Notamacropus eugenii: one gene and its partner. The protein of the gene in region 1 interacts with the protein of each later gene in a biochemical or structural test. Links are inferred from orthologs where the notes say so. Each region holds a gene or a part of one and is shown on either strand. Other genes may lie near its edges. The genes, in order: SPTBN2 and ACTR1A.

Region 1 (9,437 bases):
AGGACAGCAAGTGGGGTTCAGAGCCAACCCCCAGTAGGTCACTGGGCCAAGAAGACAGGAGTGATCAGAGCATGCATGCCTTGGAGGAGATCTGAAATCGGAGTGATCTTTAGCTTCCAATTGGGATCTGTCAAAACAGTAGCAGGGCAGGGGATGAAGCAAGAAGGAGACAAAAAGCCACAGCCAGAACTCATCCTAGGCAATCAGAAGACACAGGTAGAGTCATGGATTGGGGAAGGGGTGGGGCCTAATTTCAACCACCCCCTCCAGACTCGGGGGTGGGGTGGGGGCACAGAACCAAACATGCAAACAGGGCTTGTCTATCCATTCTAACAGTAGGTGAAGGGGTGGATGTTTCTCATGACTAAATAACAGATACCCAAGAGGTAAATCCAAAAGAAGACAAGGCAGGTACCCGTGAGAATAAATAGCTTAGAACAGAAGACAGAACACCTTAACCCTAAGAGAATGAAGCGAACAGAACTCTGTGATTCGATGATACAGCAAGAAATGTTTGGGTCAAAAGATTGAAAAATTGGAAGAATTTGTAAAGTATCTACCATCAAAATCAACTGACCTGGAAAACAGGAAAAACAATTGAAGAATCATCAGACTCCCTGAAAATCATGACTTTAAAAAACCCTGAATGTTTCAAGAAATCACAAAAGAAAACTGCCCAGATCTGTGAGAAGAGGGCAAATTAAAACCAGAACCCACTGGTCACCTCCTAAAAGATTCTCCAAATTGTAAACAACTAGGAATATCATAGTCAAAATCCACAGCTTCCAGGTTTAAAACAAAATACTGGAAACAGCTAGCATTGAGTTCAAGTGCCAAGGAAGTGCAGTCAGGGTTACAAAAGACTAAGATACATGTACTTCAAAGGAGAGAAAATCTTGGAACACGATGTTCTGAAAGAAAAAGGCATGGTGGCAGGAGACAGATATCACATAAAAGGAATGGCCATAGGCCAATGGCCTGGCATGTAGAGAGTATGAAGAAGAGGTTTGTGTAAATGAGCCTGGAATGAGAAGCTGGGGCCAGGATGTAAAGAACATTCAATGCCAAATAGAGGTGTTTGCATTTTGTCCTAGTGGCAACAGGGAGTTAATGAAGCTTCTTGAACGGAAATAAAGCTTTTGGTTGTGTAGCTGTAACCTGAAGGACTCCACCAGAGTCGCTTTACTTTAAGACTGTGCCTAGAGGTTTGGTTGTTTCCCTTTCAGGCTTCATAACCAGATAGATCCATCATGTGAATCCTCCTTCCTGTCAATCTTGTGTCTCCACCCTTTCCTCAGAGTGTTTCAACCTTGCCTGATGTTGAGTTCTGTGTCAATATTTACAGATCAAATGCAGAGGGCACAGCCCTAGGACATATGGTGGATTTGGGGGAGAAAAGGCACTCTTCAGTCTCTCCCCCCTGCCCAGGCTTGGGTAGCCCTCTGCCGACAGATGAAAAAGCAGTCCCTTCACTCAAGCTGCTGCCAAAACAACCTTGCCACTAACCTGTAACCATGGAGAGGGTCAGGTTCTGACAGAGAGTCACCTGTCTCTGTACATGTTGTTGTCTGATATCCTTCCAACTTCTCACACAGCCTGTTCTCATGATTAGTCCTTTCTTTTCCCCAAGCCTCAAGAAAGTCTTCCCCTTACTCCTTTCTGTTTTCTGCCACCCTGACTCTAACTTCTCGTGTTTGGGCAGCCTTAGAGCAATGCTCACTCCTCACGGAGGGACAAATAAGGTCCCAGACTCAGGGTTCCAGGGAGACCCAAGGTTCCCCCCATGGAGCTGAATTTGCAAGGCTCATCCTGACAGAAAGCTTTCTCTGGTTCCCCTTAGTTGCCAGTGTGTACTGCTGCTGCTCTCGCCGTCTTCCTCAGATCATCTTGTCTTTATTTTTCTGGGGACCTCTATCTCTGGTAGACTGTCAGCTCCTTGAGGTCAGGCCCTGTTTTATCTTTGAGCCCTAGACTCTAGCACAATGCCTGCTATGCATTAGACATTTAATAAATGTTTGAACTGAATTGATGGTTTATGCTGGCCTTTTGGAGGCACTATCTGATGAACTAGTGGGGGTGGCAGAAATTCCCATGTTTGTTTTGAGGAGAAAATATTTGTTTGAGTAAAGTCCTGAATAACCCTGGCAGGACCACAGAGATGGTCACACTGTTTACTGATTAGCTTCATAGGCCTGGGATCCTGGAAGAGACCACATAGCCTGATTACTGAGGAGGAGTCCTGTAGCTCTCAAAGAGAGGGTCACATTAAAAAAAAAAAGTTTTTACTTGTCATTGGGGGAAAAAATATTTTTAAAAAAAAACAAAAATGAAAGAAAGGACCACAAATTCCCCACTTTTGTTTTGATGGACTCACAGGTCCATCAGTCTCTGGGAGCTGGGCTTTCTCCAATCCCAAAAGCTTCCTGTAGGCTCTTCTTTCCCCTGCTCTGGACTGCCGTTAAAGCCACTGACTGCTCTGTCCCTCACCTTCTGCCACAAGCTGTGTGCTGTGCCAGCCTAGGCCTCTGTATCTCTTCTCTCACTTCCAAACTCCCTGGTCTTGCCACGGCACTGCCACCTCCACCATCCCAGTCCCACCCTATGCCACCCCATTGGCACCGTTGTCTCAGAAGTGATATCTTGTCTTTATTTCATACTAGCAACTAAGCAAATGAGTCCAGTTTGGTAATGATGATAAAATTCCCATGAACACAGTACTTAAGATTTAAAAATGGAGAGTAGATGAGGAATGAACAGATATGGGAGATACAAATTTAAAGATTAACTGATTAATTATTTATTATAATAATGATTCAGCTGTGGCCGCCAACGTCCTCAGTCCTATCCAGTGGGTGTGATTTTATCATGGAAATGGCATTAAAGAAGAGGCCTGACCACCCACTCAGCTGCTGCCCCCGAGGGCCGTGGCACTTCTCCATATGAGACCTTCTCAGGGGTGTGCTGACTCCCCGTTAGACTGTCGGACTTGTCGCCTCATATCTCCAGTGCTAAGCATCTAGTGAGGGCTTAATAAATGCTTTATTTCTTGCTCATACTCCCCTTGCCCCCTTCTTTCTCTTACCAGATTGGGTCAGCTATGGGCTGGCCTCTGTAGGGGATGGAGTCAGGAAGACCTGGATTCAGATCTTTCCTCTGACAAGTCTCTTCATCTCTCTGAGGCTGTCTCCCGACTTGTGGAAGACAGCCGACTCCCCAGGATTGCTGCAAGGCTCACGTCAGGCGCAGTGTGTGAGTTGTCATCTCTAACTGTCCCCACAGGCCTGTACCTCCGCCATCATGAGCAGTACCCTGCAGTCACCCACAGACTTTGACAGCTTGGAGATCCAAGGCCAGTACAGTGATGTCAACAACCGCTGGGAGCTGCCTGACGTTGACTGGGACAATGAGAGCAGCTCGGCCAGGCTCTTTGAGCGCTCCCGGATCAAGGCTCTGGCAGGTGGGTTTTTGGTTATCTTTCCTCAGAGGGGAGAAGGGGTAGAAAGCTGGAAGCTGACCGTGCCGCTCTAGTGGCGTTTTGGGAAGACAAAGAGCCGACCTCTAAGAGGGTTCTCACAAGAGGCAGTCCCCAGATGCTGCCCACATCCAACCTCTTAGGACGCTGGCGTCCCCAGCTCTATCCCCTTGCATAGACCAAGAAGCCTTGCTGGCGAGCATGGGGAGGACCAAGCCCTCTGCCTAGCTCTGGGGCCTGGCCTTTCTCCCTTTCTTTTTCAGCCCCTGACTGTTTCTACCTTGATTCTGCTAGGTTCCTCACCTCATCTCCCCACCTGATCCATTATCCCTCTGCCTGTCCCTGCTTCACATGCCCTGGGCCTGCCTGCTGCCTCTTCTTTCTGCCTTTTCTCTGATGTACTCTGACTGCCCCTACCCTCCCCTTCAGCCCCTGCCCTCCCCTCCCTCTCCTCCAAACACCCACAGACCTGTCAGACGGGCCCTGCTGCGTTCTTGGGCCAAGTTGTCATGACAATGAGAGCATGCTACCTGACAGTGCCAGACCCCAGCCCCTATACCCCGCCATTTCCTCATCTGACTGGCCCAGTTTCCCAGGCCTTCTACAGGAGACCTTCTCATGGGAGGCTTGAACAGTCAGGGAAAGGGTCAAGTCCAAGGATCACACTGTGGGAATCGCTCCTTGGGGTATCCCTTGGGCCACCCTCCATCCCTGCCCCTCTGCTTATATCTGAGCAGTGCAAAAAGAAAGGTCTGGGAGAAGACCGCATGGATGGGGAAGGCTTTGGTTCTCCCAGGAGGTGGGGGAGCAGGGGGAAGGAAGAAAGAGAGGCTGGCTGTCCCAGGCTCCTTTGCTGTCTGTCTACAGGGGAGTGGCCCAAAGTGTGAGGGCCTCAGGCCAGGGCAGGGCTCTGCCAGGGCAGACAGCTGGGTGGAGCAGGAGCCACAAAGTGGTGTGTGTGCCTATGGGGGGATCCTTCCCCCAAGGCCTCGGGAGGACATTGGTACCCTGGCCGGAATATGGGGGTCTTGGAGTGCTCACAGTTCCCTCCCCTTCCCCATTGTGGAAGCCTCAGGAGCAGAGCTAGCCAGTGACCTGGGAAGGGGGTCCTCAGGGCCACCAAGAGAGGTCCATCTTTCATCTGCCAGCACCAGGCCAGAAAGTGGGAGTCTCAGAACCCTCTCCCACTTCCTCTCATTCGGGGTCTCCTCAGACATCTCAGACTCTCCCAGTGAGGAGCATGGAGGGTGCTCTGAGATCCCTCCTCCCCCGCAGGGCCTGGCCCTGCCCCAGCCCCTTTGCCCCGCCTCCTCCCCTCCCCCGCCGCTGTCCAACCTGTTTGTCTGGAGCGTCCCCTGGCTCTGCCCCTGCCTGCCAGACAGCTCAGCCAGGTGTGCCCCCTTCTGCCTGGCCCTGCGACAGCACAGCAGCAGTGCCAGAGCTTGGCGGCTCGGAAGTCCCCCGAGTCCTCGGGCCCTGCCACCCCCTGCGTCTGGACCCCTGGCTGCCCCATCCCCATAGGGCTGACCGTGAACTTGGGCCCCTGGCTGGGGGAGATGGAATCTGGGCTCTCGACTCTGTAGGAAGCAGCAGACATGAATGGGAACGGGCTCGTGGGGAACGGTTTCAATGGGGCAGGGGAGCCCCACTGTGAGGCCCTGGAGGGGACTCAGCGCCCAGGGAGCCCCCTGCTCTCCCCTGCTGCCTTCGTTAACTCTGCCCAGTATGCCAGCGTATTGGAAGGACGGTTCAAACAGCTTCAAGGTGAGGGTCCCCAGGCAGGAGGGCGTGTGTGTGTGTGTGTGTGTGTGTGTGTGTGTGTGTGTGTGTACAGATCTGGGGGGCAGACCCTGACAGGAGCTGGGCTGGGTCAAAGGGAAGAGGGACTGGGTTAATTGGAAAGAAAAGGAGAGGAAGGGGGAAGCTTTTATTAAGCGCCTGCTGTGTGCCTTACACTATGCTAAGTACTTTACAAATACCATTTCATCTGATTGCAAGGACAGGTGGGGGTTGTCAGTGGGGAAGGACAATAGCTTGGTCCAGTGACTGGTGACAAAAGCGGAGGGCAAGAAAGCACCTTGTATGTATGTGTGGGAGGGAGACTTGGGAGGACTCAAGGCACTGCTGTGGGGAAGCCCGAAGGATGGAGGGCCCACTGAGTGGGCTGGGGTGTGTATGTGTGTAAGGGTGAGGGTGTGTTTCTGTTCTGTATGTAGGTGGCCAAATGTGAGTGAGAAGAAAGGGGGTCATGGAGAATTTAGGGTTGTGTGTGGGTGTGCGGGTGTCTGTCTGTGTGTGTGTCTCTATGTGTCTGTGTGTGTCCATGTGTCTAAAGCAGGGGTGAGGCACATGTCTAGAGGGCCTTCATATCCGATTCACCAGAGGTGGTCTCTGTGAGCCTTGGGCGCAGTCTGACATCTGTGTACTTGGAGTTCTGGGTGTGTCTGTGGGCCTAGGAAGGTTCCCAGTGTATGTAGATTTGCTGGTGAAACAGGGCTTTGGCTCTGCCCCTCCTCCTTCCGGACCCATTGGTTTTGTGTGGCTTTTTCCTCTCCTTTAGTAAACTCACTTGGCCCTGACCCAGAGAGGCGAGGTTGGCTAAGGACAGCTGGGGCTCAGAACAAAAAAGGGAAAATGGGTGCGGGGGGGGGGTGGGGGAAGGCAGGGGTCTCTGTCAGACTTTGGTCAGTGTCTCCTCTCAGGGCTCTAGTTGGCATATGGATGGGGTCAGGAGACAAGGATAGAGATGGATGGGTTTTCATGGCTCTGGGAGCAGAATAAACAGGACCATTGATTTAGAGGGGAAGGGCCCTCAGAGGTCAGCCACTGGTCTAGCCCCACCCTTTTATAGAGAGGGAAACTGAGGCTCAGCAGTGAAGGTCAGAGAGCCAGAAATGACAGGATCCCAGGGCACATGCTACTTCTGAGATCATGGGGACTCGGACTGTGGAGAAGGAAACCAGAATGACCCTTGACCTTTACTCTAGACTCTTAAAGACAAGGAGGGACCCAGGAAATTGAGATCGATCCTAGTGACAGCTTGTGTGTGTGTGTGTGTGTGCGTGTGTATGTGTGTGACCCAGCAGAGATGACACCTTGCCCCCATCCCCTTGGAGGAGGGCTTCCTGGGAAGGAGAGTTTCTGAGGAGCCCCATGTTGCCCCTTGCCATTGGTCATCCCCAGGATGGCCACGTCCCAGGGCCGGAGAATCCTCTCGAAGACCCTGGCTGAGCACGTAGGGGATCCTCTTTGGAACGTCTCTGGGGAAAAATGAGGTTGTGGCTTCTGTGACCCTGTTTGACAACATCCCTAATGACTGGCTGCCCCTTATAATTTAGAGCCTAATAGCCCCCTTTGGTGGGTGCTTTGAGGTTTGCAAAGTACTTTCCCTAGATTATTTCATCTGAGCTTTACGCCAACCCTTGCATCAAGGGGAGAAAGGTGTGATTATCCCCATTTTACAGATAAGGAAACTGAGGCTCAGGAAGAGGAATGACTTGCCCAAGGTTGCACAACTCTTGAAGCTGTCTCAGGGAGATTTGAACCCAGGACTCTGCTGACACCAAGTGCGCCACTTTTCACGCATTGTCCCCCTGCCCTTCACGTATTTACAGACTTACTACATTTCTCTTGGTCTCCCTTTGAATTTCCCCTCCCTGCCAAGAGGCTTTAGCCTCTCTCATGAAGCTTATTTCTCACCCTTTCAGTCATTTCTGTTTCTTGAGATCGATGTTTATTAAGCACCTGCTGTTTGCCAGGCACCACGCATGACAAAAATGGAAGGCTTCTGGTCTGTGGGGTGGGGGTGGGGGATGGGCCGTGGGGGGACACAGTGTATACACAAGCACATGCAAAGTAATTTTGATGGAATGAAGTGATGGACTCCAAAGTCAAGAGTCCTGGGTTCAGATTTGGAGTCTGTACTGACCACTACATGACCGACCTTGGTCAAGTCATTTTACCTGATGACCTTTAAGACTCCATCCACTGCCTGTGCTGTGGTGAACCAGAGTCAGGTGGGCAGTAGGGACCAGGTGAGGTGAGCATTGAGCACTGCATGCTTGTGACGAGTCCGTGGCCCTCTCTGGGCCACAGTTCCTTTATCTGTAGTGATGGGGTTGGGTCTGCCAGCCCAAGGTTCCTTCTGGTTCAACTGCTTCGAATCCTATGAATGAGCTGAGGCTCCCAGGATCTGAGGTCATGGTGGGGGGGAGGCGGGGAGAATGGCCAGTCTCTTGGCACTACTCGCCTCTCTCTTCCATAAGCTCCACGAGCCCAGGCTGGGCTGTCAGGTATCCCTTCTCCTGACTCTCTCTGCTGACTCTAGGATCGTTCCCCTGAGGGATGGCCTGGGAGCAGTGGTTTAGAAGTCGGGAGTCAAGGGTGGGATGGGCCACGCTGACCCCATGTTGGTGCCCTCTAGATGAGCGAGAGGCTGTGCAGAAGAAAACTTTCACCAAATGGGTAAACTCCCATTTGGCAAGAGTCACGTGCCGTGTGGGAGACCTGTACAGCGATCTACGGGATGGACGCAATCTGCTGAGGTTGCTTGAGGTGCTTTCTGGAGAGACGTTGGTGAGTGGTAGGGATGGGGCCCAGGAGTCCCCAGGGGATGGCCCTTGGAGAGAGGGCAGCGCCAGAGAGAAAGTGGACAGCAAGGGACAGGAGGCCCCCAGATGGCAAGGGTGCCCACAAGAACAGCGGCCCCATTGAGCCAAGCTCCTTCCCCACACGGGCCAAAATCTGTTAATTCCCTGGGGAATCTTAATCTGCCGCCAAACCCCACATCAAATCCCAGCTTTGGTCCCAGACATTCCTTTTGCAAATGAATGCCAGGGGGTGGATGGAGAGGGACCGGGTGGGTGCTGTACATGCTCCAGACGAGAGGACTTTGTCCTCCATCCCCCAACCTTCCTGTGCCACTAGCCCAAACCCACCAAAGGGCGCATGCGCATCCACTGCCTGGAGAATGTGGACAAGGCCTTACAGTTCCTGAAGGAGCAGAAGGTGCATTTGGAGAACATGGGCTCCCATGACATTGTGGACGGGAACCACCGCTTGACCCTCGGCTTGGTCTGGACCATCATCTTACGATTCCAGGTACGCAGACAGTCACACTAAGACTCCAGGTGGGCCCAACCTCAGTCTCTTCACTTCCCCCTTCAGCTCTGGGTGTTGGTGATGTCAAACTGGGTGACCTATGGGCCTGACCTTTCCCTCTTCCCCATCACTGTTGATGGCACCGCCAGCCTCCTCCTCAGCCAGTTCAATGCCCTTGGTGTCATCCTCCCTCATCCCATCAGGCACCCCGCCCACCTGTGACACCTGCTCTGTGCTCTCAGGGTCATCACACGCTTCATCCTCCCTCACCCAGACACCTGTAATTGCCTCCTAATTTCTCAGAGTGATATTTCTACAGCACAGGACTGACCAGGGCACTCCTCCACTCAGCAAACACCAATGGCTCCCTATTGTCCCCCCTTGCCTGCCCTGTCGTTCTTAAAGCAGCATACTCTTGGCCTTCAAGCACAGGGTCCTCTCTCTGCTCTCCACCCTGGCCTTCAGGCCTGATACTAGCCTTCCCCACTGCTGGACAGCTCTGCCCTGTCTCCGCCTCGGCCTTGGGGAAGCATTCAAGGCTCCTTCAGAAGCCACCTTTCCTCTAAGTCTCTTGTGCTTTGTTTTTGGTATGAGAGCCTCGGAGGCAGGCAACATAGCAGCCACAACCATGGCTTGCTGATCAATTGGCCCCTGGCATCCTTAATTCAGAGAAATTTAGCAAGTATTTATTAAGCTCTGATAGTATGCCAGGAGCTGTGCCAAGTGTGGGGGAGACAGAGACAGAGTGAAAGTAGCCCCGCCCATAAGAAGCTTCTCTTTTTCTAGGAAGACATAAGATGGACACAGATGAGTGTCCCATAGAAATGCCAGGCAACGTTGATGAGGTCAGGGTCCACCCTGCTAT
Region 2 (10,242 bases), on another chromosome or scaffold:
GATTGTAAAGGATCTTAAAAGCCAAACTGAGTAGTTTATTTTATCCTAGAAACAACAGGAAGTCATTAAAATTTCATGAGTATGTAAGTGACATGGTCACATGTGTGCTTGAGGAAGATTATGGTGGCAGCTGTGTAGAAGATGGATTGGAAACAGAAAAGATTGGAAGCTAGGAAATCCAATTACAAAGCTGTTTCGATAGTCAAGTTCAAGGTGATAAATAAGGACCTGAAGTATGATGGCAGCCATTTGAACGGAAAGAAAAGGATGGATGTGAGAAATACTGCGGAGGTAGATTCAAAAACACTTGGCAGTTAATTAGTATGAGGGTGAAGAAAAAGATGATTGTGATGTTGAGGTTTTAAACCAGGGTGACTAAAAAAAATGGGGCCGTCCTCAACAGAAACTGAGAAAATAACGATAATGCACAGGGGGCAGCTCCACAATGGCAAAGAATGTGTCTTATTTAATTCCCCCAAAACTGAATGAAGTGTTCTCTACAAAGTAAGTAAGCAATCCCAACTCCAAACACATATATATTTGTTGAAGAAAAAAGGCAATATTCTCACAACCGATTCTAGTCCTTTCTATGGGCTTTATTCTGTACATTTGATACACATCTGGATCGGCTGAGTAAGAAAAATATTTGCCCTTCCCAACGAATCAACCAGCCCTCTTCCCTCTGTAACACTGTCCTACTCTGAAATCTCATTGGGTGAAGAACTAAAGTACGAAGTTTCATGTTTCCCATGAAGTCCTTTAATCACATCAATCACAATGCATTAATATATAAAAGCATAGTTTAAATTTTTAATTAAGTTACCAGAGACCTGATATGAGCCTCAGGCCTCTTTAAAAGAAACTCAGCATAGATACCTATAAAAAAGTTTGTTAGTCAATAAGCATTTATTAAGTGCCTACTATATGCCAAGCACATGATAAATATTTGAGGATACAAAGACGGGCAAAAAACTGTCCCTGCTATCAAGCAACTCACATTCTAATGGAGGAAAAAACATGCAGAGAAATAAGCACAAGCCAGCTATAGCCAGGATAAACTGGAGAGAGTACCAAAGGGAAGTCATGCATTAGTAACTAAGGAGGACTGGTAAAGGCTTCTTGCAGAAGGTGGGACTTTAGCTGAGATCTGAGGGAATTCAGAATACAAAATGAGGAGAGAGAGTATTCCAGTAAAAATGCCCAATGTCAGGAGATGAAATGTCTTGTTTGAGGAACAGCAAAAGGATCTTTTCAGAGAAGAGTAAGGTGTTAGATTTGAAGTCAGATGGCCTGGGTTCAAATTCTGCCTAATATTTCCTAGCTAGGTGACCTTAGGCAAATCACCTAATTTCTCTCATCCTCAATTTGTTCCCCTGTAAAACAGAAGTTATGATATTTTCACTAACTACCCTCACAGGGTTGTTGCAAAGAAAATATAAGCCAGAAATAGCTATAGAAATATGAATCACTGTAATATTATTTAAAGGTACTTTTATACTTCAGCTAAAGAACAAGTTGTAAGCCCTAAAGAGATGAGAACAATGCCTTAACAACCAGGGAAAAAACTTCCCTTTCCAAAAGAACAAGTGGCCAGGTCTCATTATCTACTGCTTAGCCAACTTTTGAGGCTGCCTGGCTGTAGACCACTTGCTCTAACATGGAAGTCCACCAGCCACTGACCTGCACAATGGTGTTTTAAAGGGAAATGCTAGGGTATTTGGTGAGGAGAAGTGCTCAATCCCAAAGGGAAAATTGAAGACAAATGATTCTGAAATGAAACTCACTTTACCTAACTTCCCCTTTTTCCAGGCAACTGATTCCAGGGCCACAAGGCCAGCAGCTGTCCCAAGAGGTCAGTTTCCAGTGATCTGCCCCTTCTTCCTGTCCCAAGACTCCATGGACATGAACTGAGTGAGGGTCTGCCTTAAAGGGACAGTTATAAGCTATAAAATAATTCTTATGAAACAAATCTTTGTACCAATACAATATGTTTTCTAGCTAACACAACAGTCTCCTTGCCAGAATCTATTGGTAGTTACCAGTTGGCTTAACATAAGAATCATAGAATGAGAGTCAGAAGGCATTTTAGGGGCCATTCAATCTAACTCTCACCTGACTAGAATCCCCTCTATAATATTCTCTTGAAGACCTTAAGCCAGCAGAATTTCCTCTCACTTCTGTATAGGCTTAATTGTTAGAAAGTTTTTCCTTAAATAAAGCATGAATCCACTTCTACTCTTCGACCCCTCAGTGCTCCTAATATTTGTGGCCTTTAGAGCTATGTGACAGCCCTTCAAACATTCTACTCCACTGTTCTCTTATGGCCAAACACCCCCAATGCTTTAGGGCAATCAAAAATCATTTTTTAAAAAATCAAAGAATTTGGAGCTGGAAGAGATTTTGGAGTTCATCTAGAAGACCTTGCAAAAGAGCAAACTTTGGCCCAGGGAGCTTGAGTGATCTGTCAGTGAAAAGAGAACGAGCCAAGTGTCAGATAGAGCTAAAAACCCAGGTCTCTCAGTACAGAATTCTTTTCAAGTCCTCCTGAGCGAGATAACCCAAGCTGCGCCTGAAAAGATCATGCACGAACCTTTTCCTAACCTTCAGCCCTTTTAAATTCATGTGAATTCCTCGTCCCCTATGTTTGTCCCTGGTCTCAATCTGTTTTCCTCCTCTAGGTCAAAAGAAATGAAGACTGTAAAGGCAAAAGAGGCCGTCAAAGGAACGACTTTTCAGAGAAAATTTCCAAAACTTAAAGGGGAGGGGAGTTTAAGAATCAAAAGACTTCAAACGCAAAACCTGTCCACTACTAACAGGTCCTTCAGCTCACCCTGGCTCCCCTTCTCTAACCTCCACTCCCAGCCGGGCATAGCCCTTCTCCTTTCCCCCTCCCTTCCCCCCATCTCTAAGAGGGACTCCTTCCAAGCACTCGCAAACAGGCAAACTTTCCCCCGAGCCAGGCAGCCACCCCCTCTCAACTCCAGCCTCCAGCTTGGGTCCGACAATAACGTCCTGTCCTTCCCCAACCTGGCTCCCCCTCTCGCCTCCCCGCCAGGGTCTGCGAGCTCCCCACGGCCCGCCTCCGGCTCCAAAGACCCCTTTTCTTCCACAGCCCCGCAGCCCCAGGCACCCCCCCCTCCCCAAATTTCCATGAGCTCTTTGGTCCTCGAGCCCGGTTAACCCCTTTGTCTCCGCGGTCCTCGGAGGCTCCAAAGTTAACCCTTTCCCTCCCGAGCCCCGCGTCGCCTCGCTGGCCCCTCCCCCCCGCCCTTCGGCTTAACCCTTCCACGCCCGGCCGCGCTGCCCCCGCCCCCCTCGGCTAACCCTCCGCTCCGCCCCCCGGGCTCACCAGTACTTCACGATGGCGGTGACCTGCAGCGGGTTGGGCTGCTCGGGGTACAGGCGGCGGCACTCGCCGTAGATGGCGTGTAGCCCCGGGGGAAAGAGTGAGGCGAAGGCCGGGGGCGCGGCGGGGCCGGGGGCCGGAGCCGGGGCTGGGGCCGGGGGCGCGGCGGGGCCGGGGGCGCCGCTAGGCCGCAGCTCAGCCATCGGGGCGGCGGGGGCCGGGGCCGGGGCGGGGGGCGGAGGCTGGCACTGACGGACACACTGGCGGGACGGCAAGCAGAGTTCGTGGGTGCGACGCCCTGAGGGCAGCAGCGAGGTCCGGACTCCGCGCCTGCGCACGGCACCCCCGTCCACCCAGGCCGCCGCCGCTGCCGAGTCTGCCAGTGGGGCGCCGCGGGGCCGCCGGGCGCTCTTTGGGGCGGGGCTCCAGCGCCCGCTCTCCTGGAGATTATTGGTCGTCATCTATATCAGTCACAGGCTGGAGGGCGTGGCCTGACAATAGGCCCGCCCCCACCGTCCAGCGGCCGGGGAGGGTGGAGGGGAGAAAGTGCTGGGCTAGCCCTGGCCATCCGGAGGTGTTACTTGAGTGCGTGCGGGGCTCTGGGCATCCCTGTGAGACGAGCGACAGGACCGCGGTTCTGTTCCTTCCCCCTTGGTGCCGAGAAGGTTCTGCCTCAGCGGACGGGGTCATTCATTCATTCGTCTGCGCGGTACTGACTTTTTTAAAGACGGTTGAGACTTGGTTTCCGTACCTACCCCACCGACGTCTGTGGACAAGATCCAGGGGATGTAGGTTACCTGCCAGCTGCCACTTTCCTGTGTTCTTTTCCGTGGGTTGGGTGGAAGACTTTAAACTCCGCACAGATACATCATGAAAGCCAAAGGCAGCGCGGTGGACTAGAACGAGCGCTGGTGTCAAAGACCCTGGCACGCTCCTCACCCTGGGCAAGGCGCTTGACTTTTAGCTGCTCCCAGGGCGCTCTCAGAAATCCTTCAGTTACAGTAGCATTCCTTATCTGCATGGCTGAGACAGTGTCCATAACTGCGGCTCCTCTCCACAGATAGTCAGAGATAGGAACCAAAGAATAATAATAAGACCTGCTTTGGGAGAAGTAAAGCCCCCCTCTAAATAGTTATCCACAAGTACTGTGTGCAGATAGGAATTTAATAATTTTTTTTTATTATGGTAACATTCCCTTCTGTTATTTCTCTTCTGCATTGAAAAGTTACTGAGGAATCCCCGCTGGCCCCCATAATCGTTGCCCTCTGTATGTGGGGAGAGTCTTAAAAGTTTCTAAGATATCAGCTTTACAGATTTTTTAAAAATCACAATAACCTTATAGGCACGCTATTGTTTACTCAAGTAATCTTGAATGTAAAATGAGACAGCCATAGGCATTAATAGAAAGGAGGGGTTTCCAAAGGGCAAGTATGATTAACTGAAAAACACCAATAATTGAGAATGAGTATCCTAATAGTAATTCACATTTGTATAATGCTTTAAAGGGAGGTAAGTAGCAAGCATTTGTTAGGTACCTCTTGTTAAGGGCTTTATAAATATTATTGAATTTGTTAAGACTTACAAAACACTCTCCCTATAACAACCTTGTGAGGCAGATAGAACAAGTATCATACTCATTTTATAGACATGGAAACTCAGTAAGTTTCAGATAGGGTAAATGACTTTTCCACAGCTGCATGGCTTGGTAACTTGCAAAGCCAAGAACAGTCTGCATCTCTGTTGCTTAACCTGTCCTTGTTTCCATTTTCACTTAAGGATATAATTCTGACTATCAAAAGGAATGAAATGATGCAAGAAACTCTGGGTGCCTTGAAGGAAAGTTCATTGGCATTTGATTGGACATTTATTAAACACCTATACTCAAAACTATGCTCAGCACTGGGGACATAAAAACCAAAAAAGTCATAGTCACCATCCTCAAAAAGCATACATTTTACTGGAGAGGATACAGTATGTACACAAGTAATTCTAATTTGTGGTACACTGAAGAAGGACAGTAAGCATATCAACAACCGGGGAAAATCAGAAAAGGCTTCAAGAAGGAGGCAGAGGCTGAACTGACCTTGAAGGACAAGGACAATAAGGACTGAGAAAAGGGATGAAAAGAAAATGCATACCACTGATGGGGTACATGGAGGTAGAAGACAAGGGATCACCTTTAGAAATATTTAGAACTTAGTTTGTGAAGTTAGAGTCTGAAATGAGAGCTTACAATAGGGAAGGCCTTAAATGTAACCTGGAGTTTGTATTTTATCTTTGAAGCCATATACAGCCAGATAAGATTTTAGAGCAGAGAAGGGGCATGATCAGACCTGAAACTAGAACCAAAAATTCTTGTGGAAAGAACTTCAGATATCATTTAGTTCAATTTATTCATTGTACATATGAATCTGAGACCTGGAGAGGTTAAATAATTTGTTCCAAGAAAGTGAGGCAGAAATGCTTTTACTAGTGCTGGCTATTCAATAACAGCTGTGTGATTCTGGGAAAATAATTGAACCTCTCTTTTACCATCTGTAAAATGAAGGATTTTAACTAGGTATTCCAGTGCTCTTCTAATTCTAAAAGGCCTATCAAAAATTATCACAAATGACAACAACCTATATAGATGGACTAAACAAAGTATAACTAGAAGAGGTCTGTCCTGATGCAACACAGGACTATGGATGCTGAGGGACTGGTTCTCAAGATACCTTAAAAAAGGGAGAGGATGCCAGAGGGAGGAGAGGGAAAAAATGGGCATTTTTTACTACTGAAAGTAATTATTTTAAAAAATCAGTAACTGAAAACCCATATACTTACAGAAATCTGTGAGAATTACAAACACATACCATATCCTTGATGAAAGGTATGAGAAAGAGCAGTCAAGTTTTCAAAAATTATGTTTTATAACAGACCACATCTTTATAGTCACACAATTAACTGAAAGGTACAGAGAATACAAGCTCCCACCGCGCTTGTGTTTGTCGAATATTTAAAAAAAAAAATTTGGTTTTCTAGAGCCAAACAGATCTTCGACAAAGCACAGCTCCATTTAGAAAAGTCAAACAAGATTCCTTGTATCCTTGTATCCTAATACACCTGTAGAGATTACCTCTGATGATGACTATCAGTGGACACGCTGGATTACCAAAGCTGGTCGGCATTGTCAGGAAGGATGTCCACAAAGTCTAAACGTAAGGTTTTAAAAGACGCTCGGGTTTGCAGATGACATGGTGCGAACTGTAGTACTACTACACCCCACCCCTAACCCCCACACGTTGCAAAACAAAAGATAGAGATATCAAACCGTGTAAAAATCGGAAAGGAAATGGACCCTACGAGTATCAAGAATGAAAGAAAAGACGTATAAAGCAAGAATGAAAAATAAGTTATTCCACCGTAGTGAAAAGTCCCTGGTATGTAGCGTATTTATTTATGAGAGGCCACAGACAAGTATCCAAGTACTTAGGCACACAGTCCCGCGAGACTACATGTCCCAGCATACATTTCGAACCCGCCTCATCAAAGACGGAATGGACTACAGATCCCATCATGCAACAACGGCAAACAATTCATGTCCCTTTCACGCTTCTCCAAGTAAACTACAAAGCCCAAAGAGCTGTGCGAAGGAAAGTCTAATACCCATCATGCAAAGCTTCGCTGGATTTTGAAAGAGTCTGAGAGATGTTTTCCCAGTAGGAGGGGTACCGCATAGTATATTGGGGACTGTAGTCTTCCGGAGGGTGAAGAGCAGCCCCTCCCGACTTCCTTGTCCCGGGGACAAGATTGCGCATGCGTAGCGGTGGTAGCAGCAGCAGCAGCAGCAGCAGCAACAGCGGACCCGGCTGGCAGTTTCTTCCTCCGGAGGAGAGACCCCTCTGCCATGGAGTCCTACGATATTATCGCCAACCAGCCTGTCGTGATCGACAACGTGAGTCTGGGTTTCCTCTTCCCCGAGCAGGGCCCGGCTATCTTAGTCCGAGGGTCCCCCGCCCTGGCCGCTGACTCTTTGTCACCGGCTCGGCCTGTCAGGAGGCTTTGGCGGTCCCCTTCTCCTTGAGAGAAGCAGTCCCTGGCCGGTCCATAGGCCAGCATCGCTAGGGTGGAGGTCGGAGGAGAGAAACACCCCATCTCTAGCCCCCCGGGTCATCGGGCCCTTGGCCTGAGGGGCCTCAACCGCTCTGTCGGCGCCCAGGGCCCAGCCCCTTCTCCAGTTCTGGTGACTCTATTGGTTCGGGTAGCTGTCCATCTCAACTAGTTAGTTCCGCCCCCTGGCTAGCCGGATGGGGCAGCGCTCTGAAGGGATTGGCTAGTTCCCCCGTCCATCCGATGGAATGCCGCAGGGTTTCCTCTTTCCGTGGGGCGGGGCGGGGCAGAAGGGAGTGTCAAGGATTGGCTCCCAGGACTCCTGTTGGTGAGACCAGTGGGACAGGGTTCCGCCCATGGGTGGAGAAGGGCCCGATTTTGTTCAGTCCTGGGCCTGGGCGGGGTGGGGACGTGGGAAGGCCGGACCCAGCCCCTGGGTGGGGTCGGATGGAGCTCCCGGGGAGTCTTGGTGGCTGTGAGCGAGTTTCCTTGGGCTCTGTTGTTTTTGTGGTCACTAATTATAATGCTGGTGTTACTGTATCAAGGGGTCAGAACACTCCTTCCTCCTGTGGAAAACCCAAACGGATCTTTAGTTTTGGGGAAGATCAAACTGTAGCCTTCCAGATGTACTTCTGGGTGTAGTGGATATATTCCCTGTGTGGAACCAGCGGCCAAAGATGTGTGGTGATCCCTGGGGTTCGTGGAAGCTCGTTACCTCATTAACCCTTTGATCGTGACCTTGGGTCTGGGTGACCCAAGGAAGTTTGTGTCATCCAGCTTTACTGTTCCCGTAGATCTGACTTAAAGGAGGGGATAATGGTAAGAAAGTGATAAGGCAGCCCAAGACCCCAGAGGGCCAAAAGCAAAAGAAGATTGCCTTCACACTGTAATTGCCCTAGTAGGGTTATCTCTCATTTTTGGATTTGGATTCTTGTGTCTGCTGGTCTCCTCCAAAAGTAACCGGTATATCTTCATCTTCTTTTTGCCCCCTTTGTAAAATGTCTAATTGTCAGCCTTTAGCAAATTGGCAACAATTTTTTAATTTCCTTAAGCAATGCTAGGGTCTAGAAACGGCAAACCCATCAGTTTTGACCTGATCCCCTGCTCTTTGGATTAATGTGTAATCCCAACTCCAACTCTTCCATTATTCTTTCTCTTATTATAAATGATAATTAAGTCACCAGGGCTTAGTTCACCCTTCTTCCTTTCCCTAATAACGTATTAAGTTGTACTTAAGAGTAACAATACTATTATGGATTTTGAAACTAGAAGACTCAGCTTTTGTCTTTTCACTGGGAAAACTTTCTAGTACATCTACTAAAAGTGAAATCTGAGAAAGCTGTCATTCATCTTTAGGACACCAAATACGCCACATTAAATTTAGATTTGAGATCTCAATGAATTCTTAGTGGTTGAAATTCTGAACTAATTTTTGGTGACATTAGCAGCAATTTTTGGCTTTCAGGATGAAGAGTAGAATGAGCCGTATTAGACAACTGAATCAGGTGTCTATTTTGACGAGATGTGTTTATTGATAGAAATGAGTCTCACAGTTTTAGCATTTTCCAAAGACACCAAAATCTGCTTCCTGGAAGCTAAGAATTCAGCACTGGTTAGAAGAAGGGATTAAGGAAGAGAAGAAACAACAGATATTTCATCAGCTCTTCTGGGTTAGGTACCACTGCTGTCTAACATATATTACCCCTGCTTGACACCACAGAAAGCTACATAAAATTAATGAGAACAAAATGAAATTAGTTGTGAAAGTATCAGTGAGGTGAGTATCATGAGTATTTGTAGTCACATGTTTCTATTAAACATAACCATTAATACTAAAATGAAGTAGAACAGTGTGGCAGAAAGCAAACTGGACTTGAGAGTTAAAAGACTTGGATTTTAGCCTCAGTTCTGCCACCAACTTTCTGTAGGACTCTGAGCAAGTCATTATTGTACTGTGGAAAGAGCATTAGATCTGTGGTAAGAAGGATCTGTGTTGAAATCTCACCTCTGAAATTTACTACCTATGTGACCTTGAACAAGGCAATGTAACCTACTTGGTCCTCAGTTTTCTCATGTGTAAAATGAGAAAGTTGGACTACAATGTGGCCTTTGAGTTCCCTTCCAACTCTAGATCTGTGATCCTTTTGTATGTCATTTCTCCTTTCTGGACCTCAGTTTCTAGTGTGTAGAATGTATAGACTGTATTACTATTATCTCTAAAAATTTTTTCAGCTCTAAAATCCTAGGATTCCTAATAGAGAAGCTCTGAGTATACAAGTGTGCTTGTGGACCACATTTTGGAAACAGTGTCTACTACAGGAATCACTGGTGCAAATAAATTTGCTTAAAAATTTAAAATAAAATTCTTTTTTCCGTTTTCTTTGGGTGAAAAGAGAACTTATTGCCTATCCATGATCATCTCCTCTCCCAAGTCCTTGGGAACTTAAGAACTCAAAGGTTACAGTTTACTTTCTAAAAGATCAAAGTTCTAAACAGTCTTGAAGTTGTTTTATCAGTCATGGTATACTGGAACAAACACAGCTTTAGTCTGAGGAGCTGAGTTTGAATCTTAGCCCTGCTTCTCACTTGCTGTGTGACTCTGGGCAAATCTTTTAACTTTTTTGCACTCTTCAGTATCTTTATCTGTAAAACGAAGGCTTTCAACTAGCTGACTGCTCCATTCTATCTCAGCTCTAAATCTGTGACTTTCTGCTTTAGATGAGATAGAGTCAAAGAAACAACCTCAACTTTTCAGATTTTCATCATTAAGAAAGTAGTTATTTCACTCTCGAAATCTTAATGACTTG

The links.
Region 2: the proteins of SPTBN2 (region 1) and ACTR1A form a complex in vitro, tested with the Homo sapiens proteins (2 studies listed by BioGRID). The link is inferred for Notamacropus eugenii from reciprocal best matches to the Homo sapiens genes SPTBN2 and ACTR1A.

What each region holds. Positions count from the first base shown.
Region 1 is NC_092873.1:19,249,136-19,258,572, reverse strand, and holds the start of SPTBN2 (spectrin beta chain, non-erythrocytic 2), read left to right. Parts: upstream 1-4,841; 5' UTR 4,842-5,067; coding exon 5,068-5,236; intron 5,237-7,895; coding exon 7,896-8,047; intron 8,048-8,398; coding exon 8,399-8,572; intron 8,573-9,437. UniProt on the Homo sapiens protein: Probably plays an important role in neuronal membrane skeleton.
Region 2 is NC_092872.1:180,689,141-180,699,382, reverse strand, and holds the start of ACTR1A (alpha-centractin), read left to right. Parts: upstream 1-6,241; 5' UTR 6,242-7,232; coding exon 7,233-7,280; intron 7,281-10,242. Other genes in the region: SUFU (suppressor of fused homolog), read right to left, coding at 3,350-3,549. UniProt on the Homo sapiens protein: Part of the ACTR1A/ACTB filament around which the dynactin complex is built. The dynactin multiprotein complex activates the molecular motor dynein for ultra-processive transport along microtubules.